Tamandua tetradactyla: one gene and its partner. The protein of the gene in region 1 interacts with the protein of each later gene in a biochemical or structural test. Links are inferred from orthologs where the notes say so. Each region holds a gene or a part of one and is shown on either strand. Other genes may lie near its edges.

Region 1 (7,009 bases):
TCCAGCAGCCCAGGGTCCTGGGCTCAGTACTCTGTGGTGACGAAGGCCAGGCCAATTAGAACTAAAGATACCATGAGGCTTGTAGGGATAACTACCAACAGCCCAAAATGGATCTTTGTGCTATGCTCTCATTCCGTCAGCCGGCACTGAGAGAGACCTGCATTGTGTGCCAGTCCCCAATGCCCTTAACACAATGCCAGGTGTGGGTCCAGAGGTGAGGGAGCTGGAGAGAGGAGGGCAGTTTATAGACAGCAATTGCAAGGTCTCTTCTGGTCTCACACAGGCAAATGACACATTACAGTGACTTCAGTTTTTTACAACAAGGTAAGACTCATGGTCTCAACTGGTATGGTCAAATCTAGAGAGTCCTGCCCATTTCACAGGTGGGAGAGACCAGCTGAAAAAGGCCCTAGCTTGTTTAAGGTCACAAAATTGTATCAGAATCAGTACACATGGCTCTCTTTGCCCAGTCCTTGACTCTTCCAGGAAGCACAGCTGCCACCAGTGTGTAGGTACTGGCAGCCCAGCTCCATGCCCAGCCCTGCCACTGTGACCGGCTCGGCACCAGGAAGCCAGATCCTGGATCTGTCAAGATTCAGTGAGAGTGCCAGGCACCAGTGCCCTTCTGCAGCATGTCCCAGAGCCTGACTGGCACAGCCACTCAGCTTCTGCATGTCCTTGGGAAAGGTGCCAAGAGTCATAAACACCCCAAACCCAACCTTAGGCAAAGAGGGGAGCAGAGACCCATGTCTCTGTGTCTTCCACAGTTCGCTGGGGACTGAAAAAAGCAAAGGCAACAATCAAAGCCAGCCTGGACACCACGACTAAGGATTGGGACTTCTGAGCTATGCAGGTTCTGGTCAGCTCCATCGACCACCCAGTAGGACAGGATGCTCAGGCCTAGAAGGGAAACCACCCCTATGGGAGGGAACAACTTTTCTGCTCCTTTGCCCCAAAAAGGGCATTTCAAAGTCTCTTCAGACCAGAACACCCTAGCCCTTTCACCTATACCTCTTCTACTTGGACGGACAGAAAGCCAATGTGACTGGACAGCTCAGATGGCACATAAGACACAGCCAGGTGCTAACCTGGAGGTGAGTTAGGTCCAGACCAAGCTGCAACTTCCTCCGCTCTCCCTCCATCCTCAAAATAAGCCTCAGAAATGTCTAGGGTCCCTGTCCCATAAACTGTATAAAGCATGGCATTCCTGGGCAGGAAACTGACTCAGGGACTCCTAACCAGCCTGGACAGGTAAACCTGACAGATAGCATTCTGGGGATAAAGGAATGTGAGAATCTGAGAATCTCTCATGTTCCACCCCACTTATAATCTCCAGCACCCAGGGCTCCTGCTATACAGGACAGGCCTCAGACAGGTCAAGTAGAGAGGGCTATTCTCTGTCCTGGGCCACTCTACCATGAAGCATGTAATTGCACCAGTTGCTGTCCACAAAGCAGAATGTGCCTCTTGCTGGAAGAAACTTCTGAGTCTCACACACATCTGGGTGTCTGGCTCCCAAGGGGTCTGGCCCAGCCAGGGGAAGACTTGTCAGGCCTGGAAGTCCTGCTGAAGGTACCTAATATCAGTGGGGGCCATCCTCTCATCCTGCCTGCTCTCTCCCACACAAGATGCTGATTTCCATTCTTAGCAGGCCTCAAAACCTCAGAGGCCACAAAGCTAAAGTTTGAGAAGGACCAAGATAGCAGGATGGAGGCTGCCCATGATCCAGGACCCTTATTCCTGGGCAGCCCCAAATGGTAAGCCAGTCAGGTGGTGGTGGTGGCATGAGAGCCAACTGGACTTACCTATCTTCATGAGGCAGGCCAGCAGGATCCACAGGGAGATCTCAAAGGGTATGCGCACGTGTGGGTAGTCGATACCCAGGACTGGAAAGGCCTTTCGTGTCTTCGTGCTGTGGTCAGTGACGGAATGGTTAACAGGGCGGCTCTCCGGGGTGACCTCAGGTGGGGCGGTGGTGACATCCCCGATAGAGCGCTCCCGGGGTGGCTCGGAGCCCCGGATGGTGCTGGCAGTGGGGCTGGGCTGGAGGCCATGGCTCCTGAGGACAGGTAGCAGTCCCACCAAGGCTACCACCATGAGAAACGAAGGGAAGATCCGTGGTGGAGAGGGGCCACTGATGCCACGCCACAGAGGCATCGTCCTGCTCCCTGGGCCCAGTGGGCCTCTACCTTTAGCAAAGGGAGAGTAAGACGTGGGACATGGGTAGGAAGGGGTCCGAATGCCAGAAGAGAGACTGGAAGAGTCTCTAGGAAAAGTTCATGTTCTAGAGAAGTACTTTCGTGGAAGCAGTCCTCTGGGGTGGAAAGAGGTGGGGGGGGGGGGTCGCAATAGGTGGGAACCCCAAGATTTGAGACCGAGAACTGGAACTCCAAAATGGAGAAGAGGGACAAGGACCCAGGAAGGATTGCAGGAGGAGACAAAGGTGTGGAACCTTAGGCCTGGAAAAGAGAGGGGGAGGGGAGGAGTCTGAGCCCTGGAGCCAGAGCAGGGGACTGGGGTGGCTGGACCCCAGGCAAGTGATAGGAAGAAGGAAGACTGCGACCCTTGGCTGAGGAAAGTGACTGAGGAGCTGGGACTGTGGAATAAGGAAAGGGGTAGGGAGCCCAGGCTAAAGGAAGGGGACCAGGGAGGATGGGACCCAGGCCAGGAATACGGAGAGAGGACGCTGGGAGTCCAAGCTGCCAGGAAGGAATGAAGCCGGAAAGCGGCCGGGTGCTCCCCACCCAGAGAAGGGCTGGGGTCGAGGCGCTGGGCTGAGATTCCGGGGAAATGGAGGGAGGCGGAAGGCGGAGGAAGGCAGCCCGGCAGCAGGGCGCCTCGGCGCGGGCTGGGGGCGGCTGGTGGTGGGCCGGCGACAACACGCCCCTTCTTGCGGCCCCTGGACGTCGCTGCGCTCCGCCACGGCCCGGCGGCAGGTCGTCCGCGTCCAGGTCCAGTCCTAATCCCAGCCACAACCTCAGCCCGGGTGGCAGCAGACTGATTCCGCGCTGAGCCCGGCGCCGCCTCTTATAGGCACCACCGAGCTACCGGAGCCCGCGGCTAGAGCGACCTGTCAGCGCCCGCGCAGCACAGCGGCCCCTTTCGCCGAGGGAAGGAAGTATCACGTGGGAAGAGCAAGAAGAGTCAAGAGGCAAAAAAAGTAAAGTGATTTACTATTTAAAAAGCGCTTTCACCTCCACATCCGCGGGCTCATGAAGGCTTATCAATAATCCTGTGAAAGACATATTATTATCTTAAATATTTAGTTACCATGTGACCCTGAGCAAGTTTCTGAACATGTTCCACAGCTTTCTCATCTGTAAAGTGGAGGTAGTAGTAGCACCTGTACCAGGATACCGTGATGACTAAATGAGATCAAGTATCTAGAATGGCACACCAGACCATTACTAGGAGAAAACTGAGGCACAGAGTGTTCCTTAGCTAGAATGTAGGTTGTAGAGCGAGGTTTGAATCTGTGGTGTTGATTGGCAGTACTTAATCACTAGAAAGTTTTTTTTAAGTGGTGTTGCTGGAAACCCATCTTTAGAGGTTTGGATTAAACTGCTTCAGGAGAGTGCCCAGGCATGGGTATTTTTTTCAAAGATCCTTGGGCGATTCTAATGTACAGCTTACATGTGTGAGGACAGAGAACTACTAAACTACTGAAATGCTGTCCCTGTTTTGCAGAAGAGTACATTGAGGCCAAGAAGTCAAAGTGACTAGTTCAAAGTCACGAGTGATTTCACAGGGATTTGATTCAGCTTGTCCAACATTTATTGGGTATCTTGTGATAAGCCTTGGCTGTGCTCTGCCAAAATAGAGATGAATGACATGGTTTTTGCCCTCAGTTTATACAGTGCCCAGTGTCCTAATTTTCCATTGGATCTTCTTTCCACTACTCTAGGACTTCAGAAAGTAGAAAATAAACTGCACTCTTAGGAGGTTGCTTCTACCATCTTCTGTGGTTCTGGATTTCAATCCTGGGCTTCTCCAATCTCGTAAGGCAACAGCATACAGTGGAAAGATTACTGGATTTGTTGTCAGATTAAGATAGGTTCAAATCTAGTTAACTGTTGCCTGATGAATGATCTTCAGCAAGTCATATCACCTTTTTGAGCCTATTTCTTCATCCATAAAATGGGGGTGATGACACTAACAATATCTAAGTCAAAATGGATTCTAGTGAGAACTAAAGTGTATGTGAAAGCACTCCATGAAGTCAAAGTGCTAGGCATATGTCAGTTTCCGTTATCTTCAAATATTTATTCTACTGAGCACCTTCTTTGTGTCAGGTGCTAAGTACTGGGCATACCGCCATGAACAAGACAGACAGGGTCCCTGCTTTCATGGAACTGATGCTCCACTGGAGGGAGAGAGATAATAAATTAAACAAATGGATAAGAAAAAATATTGATATGCATTAAGAAGCAAATAAATAAGATAACGCATATTTATGTACACAAAAGGCAGTGGGTATAACAATGTCCATAGCAGCAGTATTCATAATGGCCAAAACTGAAAATAACCCAAATAGCCAACAATGGCAGTAAATAAATTGAGGTGTATTCATGTGATAGAATGCTATATAGCAACAAAAATGAATGTGCTATTGCTAAACAACAACATGAATGACTTTCACAAACAAAGTTGAGTGAAAAACACTAAACATAAAATTCTAAATACTGTGTAATTGCATAAAGTACAAAATTAGGGAAACTATGATGTTGGATGTAAAGATAATGATTAGCTTTGGGGCGGAAGGAAGAAGTAGTGATTGGGAAGTGGCACAAAGGAAGGGGTAGACTGTGAGGACTTCTGATGTGCTACTAATTTTTTACAAAGGTTACATAGATGTAGTTGTTTTGTGATAACTCTTTGAACATGCAGGCCCTCGTGGGTGCACTTTTCTCTAAGTTTGCTAACCCACCACAAGCAAAAAGATATATTTAAATAATAAGAGTAATGTGACCATGACTGAGGGTGACAACACTGAAGCAAGTTCTCTGTACTTCACATTCTCCTGGCATAGGCTCAGCTATCACGGAGATGATGGAAGAGCCTAGAAGGGCCTTCAGGGAAGACGAGGGTCCCTGTGTCACCTGGGAACAGATGAAAAGAGAACATCAGCTGTAATGGAAGTAATCAAAGAGAGGAATGGCATCTAAGCAAGGACCAGAATAGCGACAATAATGCCTTGCAATTGTTAAGCCTTTCATAGTTCACAAACAAGTCCCCCAGGTATAGCAATGATCCAAGCCCTGGTGCATAGTGAGAGCTCAATAAATACTAGCAGTTATTCTCATTCTCATTTTACAGATGAAAAAACCACAGCTCAGAGACGTGAAGCAGTTTGCCCAAGGTCACATAGCCCAAGGCAGCAAGTCCAGGACTTAAGTCAGGGTTCTGACATCTGAGTCCGGTGCTCTTTCAAAACACCAACAAGCTCAGCATAGAAGAAGGAACACAGGGAAAAGGTGTGGCCAGGATACAGATTTTCCACAGGTACGATGGGGCAGAATTCCAAGACCCACAGTCCTTTCTAGTCTCGAGGGCAGCATTCACTGGTACGTACTGATCCCTCCTACTCTCTAACTCCTCTGAAACTCCTCAGTGAGTCTTTTTGTGCCAGCCTGGAGGTAACGGATCCCATGAGAACCAGGAAATGCCTCCACAGCCTGGAGTTTATGACAACCTGACAACACCAGGAAAGAGCCCTAAGGAGAAGCCACTTGGAGCCACCTTTGGCCAAGGCCCAGCCCAGGCGAGATCATGTAGCATAACAGTTGAACATTCAGGGGCTGGGAGCCAAACTGTATAGGTTCAAATCCCATTACCACCGCTTACTAGTTAAGACCTCAGACGAATCAGTCAACCTCCCTGACCCTTGGATTATTCCTCCATAATGTGTGGGCAGCAATCGTGCCAGCCTCATGGGGCTGTGAGGACGATATTTGCTAATATACGTAAAGCACTTAGAGCCGTGCCCAGCAAGCACCGCACACACTCACATCATCACTACTCACATGCAGCAAGGGCCGCAAATGTAAACCTTGGCGTTAGGGCCACATGAAGTCACACATTCAGTCACAGCAACATGCTGACAGGCTAGAAAGAAGAGCCTCTTGTCTGTGAGACTGGTCCTCCCATCAGACCGCACCACCTGAGATATGCTATGAATTTAAAATGTTTAAATAAATTATGTTGCTGAGAATTTGTGTGTGTTAAAAGCATAAGCTTGTTAAAGGTAATCCGTTAAAATAAACTGCAATATTTGTCACCCTCTTGTAGCAGGTCCTCATTCTTTTTTTAACCATTCCAGGCCCGCACTGCTCTTGACTGGGAGAGGCCACGTCTCTGCAGACTCTCCCTCTGCAGATCTTGGGCCACTCGGGGTGCCTGGGCCCTGCTGGCCTCTCCAGGTGCTTAGCCATGTCTGTCCTCCTGCACCCTTTGATGAATCCCTTGACTAAAAGTCCTGGGCATTTTAGGGACTTGCTATAGCTATGAGGTGTACAGATGCGTGGCAGGGAAGGCATGATGAAGAAAGGATCGCTTGGCCACTTCTTAGGTAAGTCACATCTTGTTCCTGTTCCTCAGATTGTTCATGGGTATGGAAGGTGCCATAATACCCACCTCGTGAGGCTGTTAGTAAATGACCGGTATATGTCAGGCACGGTTGCCGACACGTTGTTGGCACTCAGTAACTGAATTTGTTTCCTTCTTTCCTTTGTTAGAGTAACACAGCCCAACAAGGACATTCTCCCCTTCCATCACTCCACTCCATCCACACTGACTCCTTGTTATTTTGCACTGCCAGGCACGCTGCTGCTTCAGGCCCTTAACACCTGCTGTTCCCACTACCTGGAACACTTCCCCAGATGGGCACCCGGCTCATTCCCTTACATCCTTCAAGCCTTTCCACACATCTCTCTCTCTCTTTTTTTTTTTTTAACATGGGCAGGCACTGGGAATCGAACCCGGGTCCTCTGGCATGGCAGGTGAGCATTCT
Region 2 (7,704 bases), on another chromosome or scaffold:
ATGAGGATTCGGCAATCATACTCCTTTGTTAAACCCTACCTTCTCTGTATAACTCCATCATCACCTTTGATCTTTCTCCCACTCTTTAGGGGTATTTGAGCTATGGTCATTCTAACTTTTTCATGTTGGAAGGGGCTGTAAATATTACAGGGTAGGGAGATGGAACTAGCTGATGTTCTGCAGAGGCTGGGCCTCTAGGTTTCAGGATTTATCTGGTCCAAGGACCCATCTGGAGGTAGTAGGTTTCTGGAAAGTTACCCTAGTGCATGGAACCTTTGGAGAATCTTAATGTAAAGTCCTTGTGTTCTTAAGGATTGGCAGGAATGGTTTTGGTTGGGATTTGGCAAGCTATGATAGGTAGCAATATCTGTCTAATTGAAGCTTGTGTAAGAGTGACCTCCAGAGTGGCCTCTCAACTCTGAACTCTCTCAGCCACTGAAACCTTATTTATTACACTTTTTTCCCCCTTTTGGTCAGGATGGCATTGTTGATCCCACGGTGCCAGGGCCAGACTCATCCCTGGGAGTCCTCTCCCATGCTGCGAGGGAGACTTTCACCCCCATATGTCATGTCCCACATAGAGGGGAGGGCAGTGGTTTCACATGCAGAGTTGGGCTTAGAGAGAGCGAGGCCGCATCTGAGCAACCAAAGAGGTCCTCCAGAGTGACTCTTAGGCACACCTGTAGGTAGGTTAAGCGTCTCAACTACCTGTATAAGCTTCACAAGAGCAAACCTCGAGATCACAGGTCTTGGCCTGTTTACTTGGGTGTCCCTAATGTTTGGCACAGTATCAAGGGATTCCCCAGTAGCAAAGTTTAATAGTTCCGTATTTTTTCTCCCATCGCTCAAGGGACTTTGCCAATACTTTTATTATCTGCTTAATATATTCTAGGATGTATCTAGGCATTACACTAAGCTATACAGGATTAAAGACCCTCATTCTTATTCTGGGCTCCCTGGGTTTCGATTGTTTAAATGAGCTATCCAGACAGGTTGAGTTAGATTATGTGCTGCAGAAAATTTAGGTTCCAGACCAAATAAACCTTTCTTCCTTTGTACTCAAAGAGTAGGTGAGGTTCTAAACTATGGACACTGCCTTCCTTACCTCTGTATTCTGAATTACCTTAATCCTGACCTGATCAGCTTTGTTCTTTTCTCTAAATATCAGGTTATACATACATAAAACAGCCTCTCAAAATCCAGAAATAATAATTACTGCAATAGGCTGCTATAAGAGCTTAGACTCTAGACCCCCGTTTTCTTATAAGTGTTTTCTAAAGGAGACCATACAATAATTGCTCTTTTGTTTCTGGCTGAATGTCCCACAGGTTCATTCACAGTGTTGTATGCCTCACAACTTCGTTCCTTTTTGTAGGAACACAATCTTCAATCATATGCATACACCATCGTTTGCTAATTTACTTCTCAGTCAGTGCATCCTTTAGCCACCTGCATTCATCGGGCATCATGTATAATGTCCAAAGTCCACAGTCCATCAACACTCCCAATTTTTAATAATTTCATCGTTTCCAAGAGAAAACCAATAAACACACCCTGGCCAAATAGGAGATCTAATCCTCCTCTTAACTCTTGTCCCTCCCCCTGTTATTTACCTCTGTTGTTACTGTGGTAGTGCTGTTTTCCTTTTAAATATAGCCCATGGCATGCAATAGCAGTTTTCCCCTGTACCCTGAACTTAAACACTCTTTGTACACAAATAGTACCTTTGAAGTAATTCTTACAAGAGCTAATTCCTATTTCTAGTGTTAATCAGTGGGACGTGTAGGTCTAAAAATACAACCCCTTTCAATCTTGTTCATCTTCAGTATGGTAATATTACTTATAGACCCACTAGAGAACCATCTTCACTTCTATTTATTCCCTTACATTGGAGTTCAACCTCATTAGCCAACCATTCACCCATCTCTAGGTTATATGTATCTCTAAGTCCCCTATATTCTGTATTAAAAGCCTCTGATTATACCTTTATGATGGTCATAAACGTGGAGTCATACAGTATCGATCCTTTTGTGTCTGGCTTATTTCACTCAGCATTATGTCCTCAAGGCTCATCGATCTTGTCATGTGCTTCAGGACGTCATCTTGTCTTAATGCTGCATAATACTCCATCACATGTATATACCACATTTTGTTGATCCACTCGTCTGTTGATGGGCATTTGGTTTGTTTCCATCTTTTGGCAATTGGTAATAATGCTGCTATGAATATCGGTTTGCAAATGTCTGTTTGTGTCATTACTTTCAGCTCTTCTGGGTATATACCAGGTAGTGCTATTGCTGGGTCTTAGGGCAACTCGATATTTAGTTTTCTAAGGAACCACCAAACAGTCTTCCATAGCAGCTGCACCTTTATACATTCCCACCAGCAGTGCATAAGTGTCCCAGTTTCTCCACATCCTCTCCAACATTTATAGTTTCCTGTTTGTTTAATAGCAGCCATTCCTATAGGTGTGAGGTGGTATCTAATTGTAGTCTTGATCTGCATTTCCCTTAAGCCAGTGAAAATGAACATCGCTTCATGTGCTTTTGAGCCATCTGTGTTTGCTCTTCAGGAAAATGCCTATTCATATCTTTTATTCCATTTTATAATTGGGTTTTTGTTCTTTTGCTGTTGAGTTGTATGATTTCTTTATGTATTGAGGATATCAAACCTCTGTGCGATGTAAGATTTCCAAATATTTTCTCCCATTGAGTTGACTGCCTGTTCACCTTTTTGACAAAGTCTTTTGAGGTGGAGAAGCATTTGATTTTGAGGAGTTCCCATTTATCTATTTTTTCTTTTGTTGCTTATGCTTTGGGTGGATGATTGAATAACTATAGACATTTTAAGGTGTATTCATGTAATTGTGAAAACTTTGTAACTATCATTCCCTTTATCTAGTGTATGGACAATGAGTAAGGGAAAAAGAGGAAAGTAAATAAACAATGGGGGGGTATGTATGTGATGTTTTGGATGTACTTTTTTTAACTTTTATTTTAATTTTTATTCTTATTTTTATTTTTTTGGAGTAATGAAAATGTTCAAAAATCTATTGTGATGACGAATGCATATAGCTATGTGATGATACTATGAACCACTGATTGTACGCTTTAGATGATAACATGGTATATGAATATGTAATATATTTTTTGTTTAAAAAAAAAAGTGATTGGCCAGTACTAATGATTTTTACCATTTTTATATGAACCGTTCAGAAGCTGACCACATGCTTTAATTTTGCACCGTTGTAGTGTTTTTTACCTTTGTTTCTAGAACCTACATATTGATCACAATTACTGTTTTGTACATGCCCTATTAACTCTTACAGCCATTCTCCCTTGTAGATTTAGTTGATTTCTTAAGTACACCTTTCTGTAGATTTTTCAGCGAGGCTCTGTGAGTTGTAAACCTTGTCTGAAAATGTCTTTATTTTGCTGCCATGCCTGAATGATCATTTAGTTGGGTATAGCATTTGCAGTGGCTGGATATTTCTTCTCAGTGCTTTGTTTCTGTCTCTTGCTGCTGTTGAGAAGTCAGCTCTTTGTCTAACTGATAGCTCTTTGTAGAAATCTGTTTCCCTGCCGCCATTTAAAACTTTTTGTTGGTGGTGTTTTACCTTATGCATAGTCTAGGTATAAATCTATTTATTTTGTTCTTGCCTGAGAATGGCTGTGCTGTTTTTCTCTTTGCCTTGTCCCTCAGGAATTCCTACGAGAAATGGATTGGGCCATCTCACTGTGGTCTCCTGTACTCTCATGCAGGTTTCACGTTTCCTATCTTTGTATTGTCGAATGCAGTAGTCTGGGTCATTTCCTTGGGTATGTCTTCCAGTTTGCTAACTCTCTTTTCAGATACTATGACTTTGCTTCTTGAACCTGACTATTAAGCTTTTTTTCATTTCAGTAACTTTTTACAGGAAACATCCAAATGGTATGTGGTTTTCAAATTCATCTCTCTGGCCATAGTTTCACTATTTGCACTCATTTAAAACACAGCGCGCTCTGTTCTGATTGACCTTCAAGATTCGCATGCGCGGACAGTTTGTTTCATTTTTACAAGCTCGTCTTCACCTGGGGGTACGTCCTCCCCGCCCTCCCGTCCGCCCTAGGGCTCCCCTGTGCCCTGGGCTGGAGAAGTGATCATGCATTTTGCTGTGCGAGGAACCTTAAGGGTCTTCACTGGTCCAGAATGGTTCCAAACATTCTTTTGGAATGTTTCTTTTAATAACGTAAGAATTTTACGTTAATTCTTCAGCGTGGGTTTCCTGCCCGGCAGAATTTTGGATTTTCTCCTGTGCATGGCCAGCTTGGGGTCTTGGTTTCTCCCGGCAGCCTCCCCCTTCCCTTCGTGTCCTGCCACCTCCCCAGCAGAGTAGCTTCCTTGTGGATTGTTTGGTCTGGTGGTGATAAACGTTTTTCCCGCCCACCGTACGTAGAGGGGCTGCCTTTTGTGTTCCAGCTTTTTATAGGTGTGGTTCTAACTCCCACAGACTCGAGGCCGCTTCTGTTGCTGGGCACTCGGCAGTCCCAGCCTTCAGCTGTTCGAGCTGTGGCCATCGTCAGTCCCCTGGGCCACCAGCAGTCGCTGACACCTCGCCCTCCTGAGCGTGGGCTTCCTCCTGGCACCTGGGGATTACACTTACACTCTTAGCTGTGTGTGTGTCTGTACACAGATATATATACACACGGAGATATGTATATGTGTATTTTTCTTATTTTTACCTAGTGTTTTCATGTGTTTGTGGTGGAAGGGATAACCCTCCTAGGAGCAAGAACTGGAGTTCTTTATCTAAGTGTCTTACTGTAAGACCCTGTGCCTTAGGTGCCAAAGTGCCTCGCCACTTGGTTTGGACTCGGCATAAATTTAGAGGCAAAGATCAGTCTAGAAGAGTGTGAAACCAGCTCCTGAGATGCTTTGCAAGACGCCCACTCTCCAAATCTCGACTGATGCAGTGCTGCTTTTTTCCCTGTCCCCATCTTCAGTCTTTTTATCGAAATGACCGTGTCTGTGTCTTTAATTACAGAATCATGTCTTCATTGCCCTAGCCACTGCATAGTTTTGATGGAACTGATAGCAGAGCAGATGGTTTCAAGAACAGATGCTGCTGTCACAAGCCCGGGTGCAAATCTGTGTGCCCTTTGGCAAGTGGCTTACCCTCCCTGTGACTCCATTTCCTCATCTGCAGAATGGGTGTGATCACCACCCTAGGAAGTGGGCACTGTTACGAGAACTAAATAAGATGACGCATGTGTTTTAAGTTGCTGGGCTGCTGGAGCAAAGCACCACAAACTGGGAGGCTTCAAACAACAGACATGTGTCTGGAGGACCCAAAATCAGCCAGGCTGTGCTGCCTCTTACACCTGTAGGAAGGAATCTGTGCCAGGTCTGTCTCAGCTTCTGGTAGAGGCTAGCTGTGCATCCGTGGCCTTCTCCGGCACAGCTGTTGCGGGGCACTGTCCTGTGTGGATCTGTCTGCCTGGGTCCAGTGTCTTCTCCTTATAAGGACACCAGCCATTTGGCTTCATCTGAACTAGTAACATTCAGAAATCCTGTTTCCAATAGGGTCATCATGCTCACAGGCCTGGGGATGGCGACTTGAACAGAGCCTTTTGGGGGACACACAATTCAGCCGCATGCCCAGTGCTTGGCCCCTTACCTGCCTTAGTAAACGTACCCCGGGCAGTGGCCCCGGCGCTAGCGTGAGCGGGAAAGAACGGGCGCAGCGGCAGGCAGGTGAGCGTGGGCGGGCAGGTGAGCGTGGGCGGGCAGGTGAGCGTGGGCGGGCAGGTGAGCGTGGGCGGCACAGCGCGGGCCTGCGATGTGTGCGGTCACGCCTGCCCCCGACACCCTCTCAGGCTGTCTTGGTGCCCGTGAGAGGACACAGTTCTACAGTCAGGTCGGTTCGCTCCGTCCCAGCTTCCCTTCCAGACCCCAGAATGGGGGATTCACCCCTGGGTAGAAAAACCCAATGAGACACTAAGGGGACCCTGGGTACCCAGATTAAAATAAGTGACATCTCCAGGCCGGGGTGGGGGGGATGGGGTGGGGGGGCTGTGCTTCCTGGGAATTCCTTGGCTTTCGCATTTCTAAGGTGGGTGGACGTTTGCATGAAAAGGGTTTTAAAATGCTGGATTAGAGCCAATGATTAATCTTTTTGCTCCTGCTGCTTTGGAAAATGGCATTTGTTTGAGAACTTTCCTTTCCAGACTAAGTGGTCCCCAGTGCATCTTTGGTTTATTTTAAAATCCTGCCCACTAGGCCTGGTCAGTGATACGTGCCCTCCAAGCATCTTGTAGGTGACAGGCCAGAGGGACAGTCCCCACTGCCTCTTTCAAGGTCCCTACAAGGCTCAGGAGGCCTGTCCTTCCTCCACCTCCTCCCCCCTCCCCTCCCCTCTTCCTCCCAGTTCTCCTCTTCTCCTTTTCTCCCCTCCCCTCCTCCTCTTCCTCCTTTCCTTCCTCCCTCTCCTTCTCCTTTCCCTCCTCTTCTCCCTCCTCCCTCCTTTCTGTCCCCCTCCCCCTCCTTTCTGTCCCCCTCCCACCTCCTGTCCCTCCTCCCCACAAAGCCCAGCATTAGTCATTGCTTTGGCTGTAGCCCCAGGTGGCAAAAACAAGTCACTCCTTCCCTCCTGAGCCTGGAGCCAGCTGAGGAGCTGAGATGGTCCCCGTGGTTATTGCTTAGGGGTGTCATAGCCATCTCTGTGGCTCCGGCTGCTGAGCCTTCGCAGGCCCGTCCCGAGCGAAGTGTGCATGTGACGTCTGTACATATGTGCACGTGCCTGGAAAAATGCACACAACACAACATTGACCGTTTTCACCATTTTTAAGTGTAATTTGTTGGCCTTAACTATGTTCACAATGTTGGGCAGGCATTGCCTGTGTCTTGCTCCAGAACTCTTCCTTCATCTGAATTAGAAACTCTGCACCCGTGAGCAGGCACCCCTATTGCATCTTCCCGCTGTCCCCCACCCCAGCCCCTGACAGCCACCAACTTGCTTTCTGTGTCTATGGATTTGCCTGCCCTGGATGTTTTCATATGAGTGGAAACCTACACCGTGTGTCGTTTTGTGTCCGGCTCCTTTCGCTCAGCGTCGTGTCTGCAGGGTCCATCGGCAGTGCAGCTCACAGCAGACCTTCGCTCCTTTCTGTGGCCGAGTAACACTCCGTTTCTGGCTGGACACACAGCTGATCCGTCCGGCAGCGGCCGGATGTCTGCTTGGGCTGTGTCCTCCCTCGGATGGCTAGGGATGGTGCTTGTGGTTTGCGTTCTGCCACTGTGTGAACCGCCTCGGAAGGGAGAGGTGCTGTCATCTGTGTGTTATGGAGAAGGGGGGCTGGGGGGCTGGCCTGGGGAGCACGGTCGGGACCCCGTGAAGGTGGGATTCCTACCCCTCGCCGTGCTCTCGGGAGAGTCGCCGGTGGCCGCCTTTCTGTCTGTCTGTCTCACCTCGGCATTCCAGGCTCGCAGCTGGCGTGAGGCTCGTCCTGGCCAATCTGGCAGGAGATGGGAAACAGGAGACGTTTGGGGGTCCTGGAAATGACGCCTCTGGGTGTCTGGGAGTCTCTTTCCAGGGTGACGCTGTGGCAGAGATAGCGGGAGGCCGGGCGGCTGGGGGAGTCCCTTGAGAGAGCAGTGAGCCTGCCCTGTGCTGTCCCCCCGCTCCCAGCCCTTCTGTCCAGTCCTCCCCAGTCTCCTGCACCCCGG

Evidence for each region.
Region 2: the proteins of SLC9A1 (region 1) and TESC form a complex in vitro, tested with the Homo sapiens proteins (4 studies listed by BioGRID and IntAct, with this or other methods). The link is inferred for Tamandua tetradactyla from reciprocal best matches to the Homo sapiens genes SLC9A1 and TESC.

The regions. Positions count from the first base shown.
Region 1 is NC_135328.1:199,117,021-199,124,029, reverse strand, and holds the start of SLC9A1 (sodium/hydrogen exchanger 1), read right to left. Parts: upstream 3,004-7,009; 5' UTR 2,158-3,003; coding exon 1,806-2,157; intron 1-1,805. UniProt on the Homo sapiens protein: Electroneutral Na(+) /H(+) antiporter that extrudes Na(+) in exchange for external protons driven by the inward sodium ion chemical gradient, protecting cells from acidification that occurs from metabolism.
Region 2 is NC_135331.1:17,544,254-17,551,957, reverse strand, and holds the start of TESC (calcineurin B homologous protein 3), read left to right. Parts: upstream 1-4,688; 5' UTR 4,689-5,633; coding exon 5,634-5,733; intron 5,734-7,704. UniProt on the Homo sapiens protein: Functions as an integral cofactor in cell pH regulation by controlling plasma membrane-type Na(+)/H(+) exchange activity. Promotes the maturation, transport, cell surface stability and exchange activity of SLC9A1/NHE1 at the plasma membrane.